3 linked regions of the Oryctolagus cuniculus genome follow. The protein of the gene in region 2 binds, or shares a complex with, the protein of the main gene of each other region. Links are inferred from orthologs where the notes say so. Each region holds a gene or a part of one and is shown on either strand. Other genes may lie near its edges. The genes, in order: CIPC, CLOCK and BMAL1.

The links.
Region 1: the proteins of CLOCK (region 2) and CIPC are in contact, whole or in part, in a crystal structure (PDB 5VJI), measured with the Mus musculus proteins. The link is inferred for Oryctolagus cuniculus from reciprocal best matches to the Homo sapiens genes CLOCK and CIPC. Residues at the interface, in NP_001276755.1 of Mus musculus: Gln519, Leu526, Lys527, Leu530, Arg533, Ile537, Asn540, Ile541, Arg543, Gln544, Glu547, Leu548, Ile551, Gln554, Leu555, Val558; in XP_006515773.1 of Mus musculus: Asn401, Thr402, Val405, Leu406, Ser409, Leu411, Ile414, Thr415, Thr418, Leu421, Ile422, Asn425, Thr428, Gln429, Leu432, Leu435, Lys436, Thr439, Gln440, Phe442, Ile443, Thr446.
Region 3: the proteins of CLOCK (region 2) and BMAL1 are in contact, whole or in part, in a crystal structure (PDB 4F3L), measured with the Mus musculus proteins. The link is inferred for Oryctolagus cuniculus from reciprocal best matches to the Homo sapiens genes CLOCK and BMAL1. Residues at the interface, in NP_001276755.1 of Mus musculus: Arg46, Gln49, Phe50, Leu53, Ile54, Glu56, Leu57, Met60, Leu61, Pro62, Lys70, Ser71, Leu74, Gln75, Ser77, Ile78, Phe80, Leu81, Arg82, His84, Lys85, Thr88, Glu95, Ile96, Gln98, Asp99, Trp100, Pro102, Phe104, Leu105; in XP_030097882.1 of Mus musculus: Lys70, Met71, Phe74, Ile75, Glu77, Leu78, Ser80, Leu81, Val82, Asp93, Leu95, Leu98, Arg99, Ala101, Val102, His104, Met105, Lys106, Leu108, Arg109, Gly110, Ala118, Tyr120, Lys121, Pro122, Phe124, Leu125, Asp127, Asp128, Glu129.

What each region holds. Positions count from the first base shown.
Region 1 is NC_091451.1:22,865,625-22,869,891, reverse strand, and holds the start of CIPC (CLOCK-interacting pacemaker), read right to left. Parts: upstream 2,856-4,267; 5' UTR 2,742-2,855; intron 2,726-2,741; exon of another isoform or gene 2,499-2,725; intron 2,497-2,498; exon of another isoform or gene 2,381-2,496; intron 2,258-2,380; exon of another isoform or gene 1,717-2,257; intron 1,377-1,716; exon of another isoform or gene 1,220-1,376; intron 1-1,219.
Region 2 is NC_091439.1:109,034,374-109,037,972, forward strand, and holds part of CLOCK (circadian locomoter output cycles protein kaput), read left to right. Parts: intron 1-644; coding exon 645-765; intron 766-2,401; coding exon 2,402-2,515; intron 2,516-2,649; coding exon 2,650-2,768; intron 2,769-3,599. UniProt on the Homo sapiens protein: Transcriptional activator which forms a core component of the circadian clock.
Region 3 is NC_091432.1:52,850,063-52,853,661, forward strand, and holds part of BMAL1 (basic helix-loop-helix ARNT-like protein 1), read right to left. Parts: intron 2,642-3,599; coding exon 2,603-2,641; intron 2,303-2,602; coding exon 2,261-2,302; intron 1,245-2,260; coding exon 1,087-1,244; intron 1-1,086. UniProt on the Homo sapiens protein: Transcriptional activator which forms a core component of the circadian clock.

The sequences.
Region 1 (4,267 bases), on a different chromosome or scaffold from region 2:
GCTTCCGCCTTCAGCCTGGCCACACACTGGTTGTTGCAGGCATTTGGGAAGGGAATCAGCAAATGGCAGGTCTCTCTTTCTGTCTCCCCTCTCTGTCTCTCAAATAAAGAAAATAAAAAAGAACCCGGTAAAATTTCACATTATAATCATGAGCTATCTTACAGGTGTTTCAGATAAAGCGTCTTCTGTAAGTCTCACTGTCAATAACGTCCCGCTACTGTTACTGAAGTGCAGCCTACAGAGCTATAGAAAAGACACAGGAGTTCATTGGGGCTCACTGCGAACCTGCAGGTTAATTCTGATCGTGAAATCAAAATTCTGAAATGCTGACAAACCGCTTAAGTGGAGAACAGATGCTAAAATTGTAGAGCCTGGGCAGCTGGAAACAAACAAGGTATAATCTCCTCCAGAGCGCTAAACTGGTGATTTCAGATGGGAAAATGGTTGAAAATAGGAAAGCGCTGTTTTGACGACTCTTCGAGCAGCAGAGGTGCTCAGTGCCAGCCAGGGCGGCTCCCGTGGGCTCAGAGCGGCAGGAGCGGCACTTCCAGTGGGCTGAGGGTGCCAATTAGCCAGGAACAAGGACCCACGCACACCTGGCAGCACGTGACGCCCTGGGCACAGGGGTCACTGCCGGTGCCCTCAATCCCCGGGCAGGGCAAATGGCAACACCCGAAGCCTTCCCTCTTCAGCAGTACTTCAAAGTCAGGTGCTTGGAGATGGCTTGGTTCCTAAGCTCTCACCCTGTGTCACCTCTGCTTCCTGGCACGCACATGGCTTTCCAAACATCCCACGCCCCATGCACGGGACTCCGTGTCCCAAGGACTGGCGCTCCCACGCTGTCAGCACCAGCCCTAACCGGGCTCCTGTGTGTGTACAAGTAACACACGTTCCCAAACAAAACCACGGCCACCACAGTCCACGAGCGCGATGCAGGGCACAGAACAGGTTCCTAAATACACACACTTCACACAGGCTCGTGCGTCCATGCCACATGCACTCCCTACACTGGTCTGTTTATCTCCCCAACCTCCGGAGTTCTTCCACTGTGGCGAGCTCAGCCCCCAGCACGAACGTGCGAGGAAGCCAACAGCACAGTAACTCTGGCTCCCTGAAATGCTCACACGGCTCGAAGGTCAAGATCCTGCCTGTCCAAGCCCCACGGTCACTTCCACACCCAACTTCCAGGTCCTGTCCTCCGCAGGAAACATAATCTCACCTCCCCTTCCTCCTAAGTGAGACCTCGGCAACAAAGCCTCCGATCTACATTCCTCATCTCCGAGGAGACGTGAGCTCAGGACGAGAGGGAGACCCGAGGTTACAAGGAAAGGGCCCGAAATGCGGCTTTCAGATCTCTCCTTTTATAGACTCTTGGCAGGGCTCCTCGGAGTGCGAGCTCCCTTTAAGACGCGTCACGTGTATAACATGCGTGCATGGACACAAGTGTGGGGTGAGAGCCCAAGCTTAAACACAATAAAGTGACAAAGCCACCTTCAACAAGGCTGCCACCCAGAAAACGGCTTAGTATTCTAAGGACGTTCCAGTTCTCTCCGCGTGCGTGCTCCGAGACACCCGTTCTGGGAGAGAACGTGTTTTACTGGTGGAAAAGCCCCATCTACCTAAATCTTACACCACCACATTCACTGAACTCTCCAGCCGGGCTGGAAGCTCAGGGACCCTGAGCCCCGAGCCCAGACAACTGCTCTCCACGCCCACCTGTCCAAGGGGAGACCGCTCCAACCCCGCGCCGGGCGGTTCGCCGCCTCTCCCCTCGCAGCGGCCCACGCTGCGGCTGTGCCAGGCGGCATGTGCACCCTCCGGGCATCCACGAGCCTGCCAGCTCCGCAGGGCAGAACTGGGCAGACCCTGCGACTGTGCTGCGACTGGCACACCAGCCTCCCACGGCAAACGCCCCGGCAACAGCCGGGACCTGGGTCCCCTCCAGCCCACCACCAACTCCTTCCTCCGCACTGCCCACCTCCCCCACGCCCCTACTCCTGGCACCACGACTGGCAAGCTAGCCAGCCACCCCGAGAAGTAACCAGCACAGTGGGAGGCAGCCGGTCCTTGCGAGACAGACAGAACACCGGCGGCGCCCTGGAACCCGAACGGGCACTGCCCCCAGCTCCACACTGGAGGCCCAGCCCCCTCCCCAGGCTGCAGCTCTGCCACCCACTCCCCAGTCCATCCCTGGCCCGCGGCTCAGAGCCCGACAGGCCTCCGGGCTCCGGACGCCTAGGGCTACCCCTGGGCCCGCACACAAGCCCCCTCCCCGCACACGGCTCCCTCCTCGCAGGCCCCGCCCCTCGCAGCGAAACCAACTACGTGGGCGGGGGCGCACCCTCCGACCCCCGAAGTGCCGGCTCGCCCTCGCGCCTACCTCGCGCCCCTTCCTCTGTCCTCTACCGCCACCTTCTCTCCCCGCTCTCCTCGCCCAAACCCTCCCCCGCCGCGCCATCCCCGCCTTCCTCCCGCGGGCCCAGCCCTCCCTTTCTCACCTAGGGCCAGGGTCGCTCCACGACCGGCCCAGCGCGTGAGGTGGCGCATGCGCGAATCCAGCCCCAAGGCTCCATGACAACCCCGTCGTCGCCGGGTCTCCTGCTATCCCCCCGGCCTCCCGCCCATTTCTCCTCCCCGCGCCTCCGCGACGCCTTTCCCCACCACGTGACTCGGCTCGGAGGACCCGGCACCATAGAGACTGCGCGCCACCTTCCTAGAAGAGCCCTTGGAGACGAACTCACTTTCCGCCTCTGCCGGAAGGCGCGCGGGGACGTCGCCGCTCTCTCCGCGGCGGGCGGACGTCTCTATGGTTGGTTCCTGAGGCGCGACCGCCATTTTGTACGGCGGCGTGGAGCCGTTCGCGGCTCTGGCGTGGTTGTGGTACGGGATTCCGGGGAGCCGGGGTTGGGCCGGTTATGGCGGGATGCCTGACTCCCGAGGGAAACCAAGGGCTCATTCCCCTGTAGTATGTGCAGCCAGGACGTTGTTATTGTTGGGGGCCGGACAGGGCGCGCCCGGCGTAAGCAGGCGGGTGGGGTGACGGGGCGGTCCCCACCTCCCCGCGGGCGGCTCACGTTTTTGCCAGGCCTGTCGGAGGGGTTGTTTTGTCTTCCCGTCCACCCCTGTGACCATGCTTCGCGAGACCTACTCTCGAGGGGCTTCTCACTGCGTGATCGTGTCGTTGGATATTTTGAAGAAATTGAGCTAGAAAATTGCAGGCCCAAACCTCCTTCCCCAAAGCTGAAATCCTGTGGGGCGGGGGTTGTATAATTTCGGTTCCTTATCTTTACAGCTGCACCTGTGTGAGGATAAGGGGCCGAAGCTGTGTAACCCTTGCCTCACCCGCCGTTAATAGCCGTTAATAATTCTAGATGTCCTTTGAACTCCCCGCACGTGCTGTGAGTTTCCCGCGGTGTGAGTTGATTTGCTAATGAGCTTCCCGCGGTGTGAGGTGGAATAGGTCTCTGAAAACCCTATAAAAACCCTGACCCTTGCCTTCTCGGGGCTGCTCTGTTCCTGCGTGGTCAGAGAGCCCCAGCACGCTGGTCGGAATAAACCCCTTGCTGATTGCATGCGAGTGTCTCTTGGAGTCGTTCCTGGGGCGGTGGACGTTTCTCGACCCTAACAATTTGATTCATTTTGTCCGGTGCGGCTGCCCGAGACGGGCTTCCCAGGGATGCGGCTTCTCCGGCCAGCCCCCGGTGTTAGTGCGAGCACACGTGTAACGGCCAAAGCGAAGAGGGCTTGAGGCCGCCGGGAGTTCGGGTGTGTTGTGTCAGCGAGGGTGGCTTAGCCGAGAAGAAGCCGTTCGCAGGTGCGGGGAGAACGGGACGAGGCGGTGCCGGCCGCGCTCGTCCAGTAAATACGGTAGTCACTAAGCACGGGGAGCCCTGAAACGGCTGAAAATGCAGAATTTCCGTTTCTCAGTAGCACCCGCCGCGTCTCAAGAGCTCACGTTCCCAGCATGGCAGAAAGTTAGGTTGGCTACGTGCGGACCCAGGTGCTGGGAAGTTGTCCTGTGGTGGTCACCCACGCTTTGTTAAGCGCTACTAGGTCCTGGTCACGAAAGACCCCGACACCGACGATGCTACTGTAGTCCTGAGTATGAGGGTGTCTGCTTAGCTTAAGCTCCGCCAATAAATGATTGACAGCTTACATTAAAAAAAAAGTAACTAAAAACGGAGAAAAAGCCTACAGCCCTTGAGACTTTTGCTCTGGGGTTGGAGGGAGTGAAGTTTATTGTCGTTAGTCGCTGGGCAGCTGTCTG
Region 2 (3,599 bases):
TTCATCCTTTGATTCCACAGCTGTGGCACTGTAGGCAACCCAAGGCTTGTGAGATTACTTACTGTTGATGAAAGGAACATACAAGAGTCAGCAAGTCACTGGGCTTAACATGTCAGTTGCCCTCTTGGGGGTGGGGGTGGGTAGCATAAAAGCAAGGCTTCTGACAGTGGAATGCAAGATAGATGCCAGGAAAATATGAAATAAAAAGAAAGCACCTATTGGACAACCGAAGTGATACCACATTTATTTAGCATGAGACCAGACTTTGTGTATGCGTGCCGCTGCTGGCGACGGTCGTAAAGCTATGACTTGTGGTCCAAGAATTTTCTGATTAAATTTTAGTCATGTTGTAGTTTAATGTGTTCGAAGTTCGTGGAGCTTAGCTTTGCAAGTCATGTGTCTGGCTTGGAAGGTCACAGTGATCGTGAACCTGATGACATCGCCATCAGAGCCATGAGTGCACTGTTACGCCCTAACTTCTCAGCCTTGTTTCTGTGGGATCTGATCTGTAACTTGACATTTGTTGGTTATCTTACATAAATGAAAATTAACCCTGTACCCTGTTGTTTAATAGTGATGATACACTTTTAAGATAAATATCTTAGGAATCACAGATTTATTTTGTGTTTAAAATTGTTTTTCAGTCTGATCTTGTGGATCAAAGTATATTTAATTTTATCCCAGAGGGGGAACATTCAGAGGTTTATAAAATACTCTCTACCCATCTGCTGGAAAGTGACTCGTTAACCCCTGAGTACTTAAAATGTAAGTAGTAGCTGTTAAACAGTAGTCAGATATTCTGCTTGGTAGCATAATCCTTTCGTTTTCAAGTCTGTGGAGTTCAAGATCAAAGTGGGGGTGGTAAAAAGTCTTAATTGACTTGCTTATCTGCTAGGTAAACAATCAATAAGCAAAAAAATGTTCTTTCAGGAAGAAAAAAAGATGTTTTATGCCAAAGATAATAAATGAGTTAAAACAGAAAACTGCTTTAGAAATCTAGTAGGTCATTTTGGCCATAGTGAAGGTGAGGTGGTATAGGAGTGTGATTTGTGTCTAGGGAAGGAAACAGGCAGAATTAGAAAGGCAGATCACTCAGGTAAGAAATTTGCAATAGGACTAAATTGGGAACAGAAAGGAAAACTGTATAATGTTAGCCATGGAAGGGGAGGCAAGTGTGTGAGTGTTAAGGAAGTAAACTCAGTAGGACTTGATGTCAGGCACAGGCAACCAAGTGACTGAGGATCATTGATGGGAAAGGGTCTGGGGCAGAAGCAGATTTTGAACCTCTGGAGTTAGATAGAACCATCTGTAGTGATAATGGCAGAGGAGTGTGAGCTTGGTGTAAGTGAAGAGAAGGGTTGCTAGTCCTTGAGTGCTGAAATAACCTGACACGGTGGGATTCGACTTACAAGTGGTTGGCAAGGATGCGTCAGCGTGGCCAGAATATGGAGGCATAATGAGAACACGGGGCAGTTACCTGGGTGCAGGGTAGTGTGTGCAGCATTGAGCTGGTGGCAGTGAGGGCTTGGGAGAGCTTCCTTGTGAAATAAATAGCAGATCCTGGACACATTATATTTGAGACTTGTGATGGGAAGAAAAGCCACCAAACTTACTTAGTTTCCAACTTGGGGAATAAGTGCACGTGGAACAGCTGGCTTGGGAAGAAAGATTCAGGTATTTTGAGTTTAAGCTCCTATGGGGACAGGTGAGTGAAAAAGCTGTGACAGTAAATCGTGGTGTGAGAGTGTGTCCTGCTTGAGATAGCGGAATTGGGAGGAGAGGTGTCGTAGTCAGCTTGCAAAGAAAGCAGATCAGGCGCAGAAGAGCGCTGTCCGCAGGCAGGGAGAGACCTCCGCCGTGGTGAAAGAGGCAGAAGCAGTGAGGAGAAGCTGTTGAAGGTGATAGGACACGTGTTAGGTACCGAAGGAGTTGCCGCAGAGGGGTCTGCGGGGCAGCCCCCGGTGTGAGCCGAGGAGAACTGAACGTGCGGACACTGGAGCCCATAACGTGAAGCCAAGTGTCTGGGACCAGAAAGCTCACCATGAGCAACCCGTTGTTGGAGGTGGAAACTGAGCAAATTTAAGACTAGAAAGGACCCACAGGGGAGAATGTGCAGGTGCTGAAGAAATGCACGGCCTCATCGTGGCCCTGGTCCTAGGAAAGGCAGGAAAGATGGCAAGGTGTAGAAGGAAACAGAGCTGGAGTGAGGAGGAGGAGGGACAGGTGCAAATGGGGGCACGACGTTGCTTGTGCAGGTGAGGTCACCTCCTACCTACTAAAATGTCATTGAAAACTCTGTTAAGGGAGATAATGACTATAAAGTTTGCTTTTAGTCTTATTTTGTGTGATATTTGTTCATTGTCCAGATCACAGAACGACTTTTCAAAATCTCTCATTTCAGCAAAAAATCAGTTAGAATTCTGTTGTCATATGCTTCGAGGAACAATAGACCCAAAGGAACCATCTACCTATGAGTATGTGAGATTCATAGGAAATTTCAAATCTTTAAATAGCGGTGAGTTAAAATGCCTCTCTTTCCAGTGTGTTTTAACTTGATATTATTTTTCTAGCTCTTAAAGACTTAGATGTTTGGATATCAGTAACAGCTTTTGTTGGAGTAACTGATCATAGCATTTCTTCACTGTTTAGTATCCACTTCAGCACACAATGGCTTTGAAGGAACTATACAGCGCACACACAGGCCTTCCTATGAGGATAGGATTTGTTTTGTAGCTACTGTGAGATTGGCTACGCCGCAGTTCATCAAGGTATGTTTCTAGTTTCATTTCCCAGGGAGAATTTCAGTCCACATTATGTAATTTTTTGTTTTCTTTACAGTGGCTGAAACCTCATATAAACATTGAAGACTGTGAGACATTGAACATGCATGATCATGATTTTTTTGAAACATAAGTTATCAAGGCGCTCATTAAATTATATAGCTAATTTCTTAGTGTAAGTTCTTTGCAGTTCACCAGTGGTTGTATGTCACTGTTGACCTACTTTTGTGCAAAATTTTCTTAGGTTTTTGTGACTAATTCACTGTCTTCATTAAAGGAGAAATCCAAAATAACCTTGGTAATTTTTTTAAAGATTTATTTATTTATTTGAAAGAGTTACAAAGAGGCAGAGAGAGAAAGAGGTCTTCCATCTGCTGGTTCACTCCCAAACAGCCACGATGGCTGGAGCTGAGCTGATCTGAAGCCAGGAGCCAGGAGCTTCTTCCAGGTCTCCCATGCAGGTGCAGGGTCCCAAGGACCTGAGCCATCTTCCACTGCTTTTCCAGGCCATAGCACAGAGTTGGATCATAAGTGGAGCAGCCAGGTTTCGAAGTGGCACCCATATGGGATGGCGGCACTGTGGATGGCAGCTTTACCCACTATGCCATAGCACTGGCCTCCCCTGATAATTTTTTAAATACTGGTTTTCAGATTTGTTTTTGGGAATGTGTAAGCAGCTTTTTACTGCACATAATTTACCTTTTCAGTTCTAGAATTTAACTGAATCATTTAGTAGGGAAGTGGGAAAGTGAACTAGTTCAACCCTAGAAAGTGGCTGGGAAGAAGCCAGGTGTGACTTGAACTTTAGGGAAATGCGTA
Region 3 (3,599 bases), on a different chromosome or scaffold from region 2:
CAGCCAAAGACCTGGCCTTGCAGAGAGCGGGTGGAATAGAGAAGGACTAGGATGAAATGGACGCATAACAATTCAGAGTAGGTGGGAAGGTGATCAACTCCATGTGTTTGTGACTTTCATACAGACTAACTCAGGGCCTCTACTCCTGATCCATAGCTCTGCTTCTGAGTATAGCTTGAGATTTGCCACTTTCCTCTTTCATTTTAATAGAAATTAGTTTCTAATAAATAATTTAACTCATTGCCTTTGCTGACATAAACTTTTAAATGCCATTCTCTGAGCACAGGATACAGCATTTACAGTTTTGAATAATGATCAGAAGTCAGACAAAATCAGCTTTTTATTTCCACTGGCCTTGTGCAAGTTTAAAGACAAATTCTTTTATGACACAGGTCAGAGGTCAGAATGAGCGTCCACTTCCCAGTTTCCTCCAATCGTCCAAGACTAGCTATGGAAAATTCCAGAACAGCAGTCACTGAAATGCCCGATACATTTCAGATTTCTCTTGCGATCTGGAAAAGTCACTTCCACTTTCCTGCCTCTGTTTTCTCACCCTCCCCACACTCAGCAAAGAAGGAAGCTACTGCCTCCCTCACAGAGTGAGCCTGGTCGGGGAAAATTCCAGGAAGATGAGAACACCAGCAGTGCTCCGCCCTGACAACCAAACGCAGCAGGCGCCATCAGTGGCTCACTCCACAAAGGAACCGGAACAAATTATTCTCTGAAAAACGGAAAGCGCCTCTTGTGTGTCACTGTGTGCACCTACGTTTCTGATTTATACCACCGCTGAGGTGGAATCCAGGGGCACTCACATCTACACAAGATGGGACCTCCGCAGGGTCCCGATAGGCACGTGGCCCAGTGGCAGGCACACCTGGAGACACGCACGACACATGCCTTAGACACTCCAGAGATTCACGACCTGCAAAACTGCATCTCGAGACCCACGCGGGCTCAGTAACTACCTCATGGCTACAGATTTTGATGTAATCAATATGCACCTAGGCACTGAGGAACATTCTAGACGAGGTGGGTAACATCTGTGAACAAGGACAGAAGGACAGTGAAGCAAGCCCAGGGTCTCACCTCGTAGCGTCTTCATGTGCTGAACGGCCATCCTCAGCACAGTCAGTTTATCCAGCTTCCTAGACATGGCGTTGCACGTGGGAACCAGAGAAGCCAGCTCGTCAATGAAACTGTTCATCTTATCCCGGCGCCGCTTTTCAATCTGACTGTGAGCCTCTCTGAACACACCAATGCGGACAGCGATTTTTCAGGAAACAGAACCCAGCGGCAACAAGAAGACAAAAATAAATGAACTGTAACTTTTCAATATTCATTTGATAAGGCCAATTCAGACTTTGCACAATGTTTCCAATCAGGTTTTTCTACTCAAGTCAGCCCCTAGAACGGTCCCCCTGCCAGGTCGGTACCAGTTTTCTTGTGCTTAGCTCATCCTTAGGATCACGGAAGAGAATTACATAAACTGTCCTTTTGAGCAAACTCAATTAGTTTCTCCTCATTGCTTCCCCTCCCAGCCCCTGTAAACAGGATTTGGAGATGGGAATGGAAAGAGAGAGAAGGGAGGTGGAGGTTTCCCAGAACAGCCACAGCAAGGGCCTAGTCCCTGGTGGGCTGTATCTGAGGTCCAGGAGGAGTGGGCAGTGTGGCCTGTGGGTGACATCACTTCCTTCAGAGCCGGACAGGTCCCTGGGCACTAGTGCCTCCATTCATGGTTCAGCATTCAGACACTGCATCTGGGTCTCCGGGCTTCCTCTGAGGGGTTCTGAGGGGCAGCTACACACCCACGGAACCAACCGCTAGAGATACTAGGCCAGCCAACTTGTGCAGCCCCTGGCTGTGTGTGTCACGACACAGCCTCAGGTGGGCACTGGGACTCCACCGGAAGAGGACCACAAGTGCAGCAAGGGCCCTTGCAGAAGGCAAGGCGCAGCCTAGAAGTGGAATCCTCACCCTGTACCTCCTCCGGGGGCCCTCAAGTCAGGGAGGAGCAATCTGCTAAAGACTTGGAGGGAGACTTCAGCCTTGAGTGACTTCCTGCCACCTCCAAAGTCCCCTTTAGGTTGAATGTGCTTAGTCAGAAAAGGCAGAAAGCAGAGGGCAGAAGGTGATGGCGTGTGGAGACCCACTCCCCACTCCCCTGTTCCCTAAGGACATACAGACATGCCAGGGACCAAGCACTCGGTGCACCGCAGCCAGAACCCGGACAGATGGTAGAAGAAATGCAGTCCAAACTCACCTCGCGTTTTTGATCCTGCCTTGGTGCTCAGCGTATTCTAACCTGGAGGGGAGAATGCAAACGATCAAAATGCAATCCCCTGGCGGGAGAAGAGGGGGCGGGGGATGGCCGCCATGCACTTCTGTTTCCTCCTGCCTGGCCCCTGTCCTCTCTCTACAGGCACACGGGGGCTCTCACTTGTTACTCACATTGGGGAGGGGGCATGCTGGGAGACAGCCTTGAACCTACAGGCTCTCTCTAACCAAGGACATGGGAGGAACCAGCTCCATGTTATATAGTTTGTAACCATGCAAGAAAACAGCTACAGGGATATAGAAGTTCAAATGACCAAATTTGTGGTACCTTCCATGAGGGTCATCTTTGTCTGTGTCCATGCTTTCTCTGGAAAAACAAGACAGAACGTGACTGTGTGTCAATGAACACATACAGAATAGTTCACTGTCATACAGAAAGCTCTCATTTATCCAGAAACCAAATGCCAGAAAGCTCAAGTAACCTAAGTATTGATTAATGATGGATAATAGCAAACCAGACAGAACAATGAACTTGAACTTACTGTAGTACCTGAAATGGTTTTCCAGATTATGAAATAAAATTATATATAGTCTCTATAGAGTTTGGGTGTTAACATAAATTTTACCTTATCCTGTTTGAAAACTGAGAATATATAGTGTTTACAGAAACTCTTCAAATATCTACAACATTTCATTCCTCCAGCATTCTGGATAAATGGAGCTGATTCTATTTGCAAAACATGTCAAGCGTCAAAGACACATGTGCATAGGTATCTACTTGGAGGGGAGGGGTGAAGTGAGGAGGGGAATGAAAGTACTAACAGAGAAGGACTGAACAGAGCCCCAGGCAGTGTTTCAAAGGCCCTGCTCCCAAACGTCTGCCTCTCAGCTGGGTAGGAATCCTAGGCTTTGGGAATCGGGATGGAGAGGAGGAGTGGGGCTGGGGGCTGCACAGGGTCCTGAGGTCACGGCAAGATCTGCCTGCCTTTCACAGGCCCCAGAAACACAAGCTTTTGACGCCCTGTGGCTCAGCAGGAAGCTGACCAACATTCCCAGAGGCAGGACTTCCAAATCCCCCCAGCTCAGCCCTGCCGCTTCTCCTGGCCTGTTATGAGGAGGCTACTGACTGCCACCTGGATTTCTCTCCTTTCTCCATAGCCAAGGAGGGATCGGGGCCCTTCAAACAACGAAACCTCATGGGCACAAACTGCTCCTAGAGCATGGCTCACACGGCCGCATTCTAGGACAGCCGTCCCCACGCAGGTGTCTTGGTTTCCCCGGGGCAGAGTTTCTTTGGCCAGCCCTTAGGTCCACAGGAAATCAGA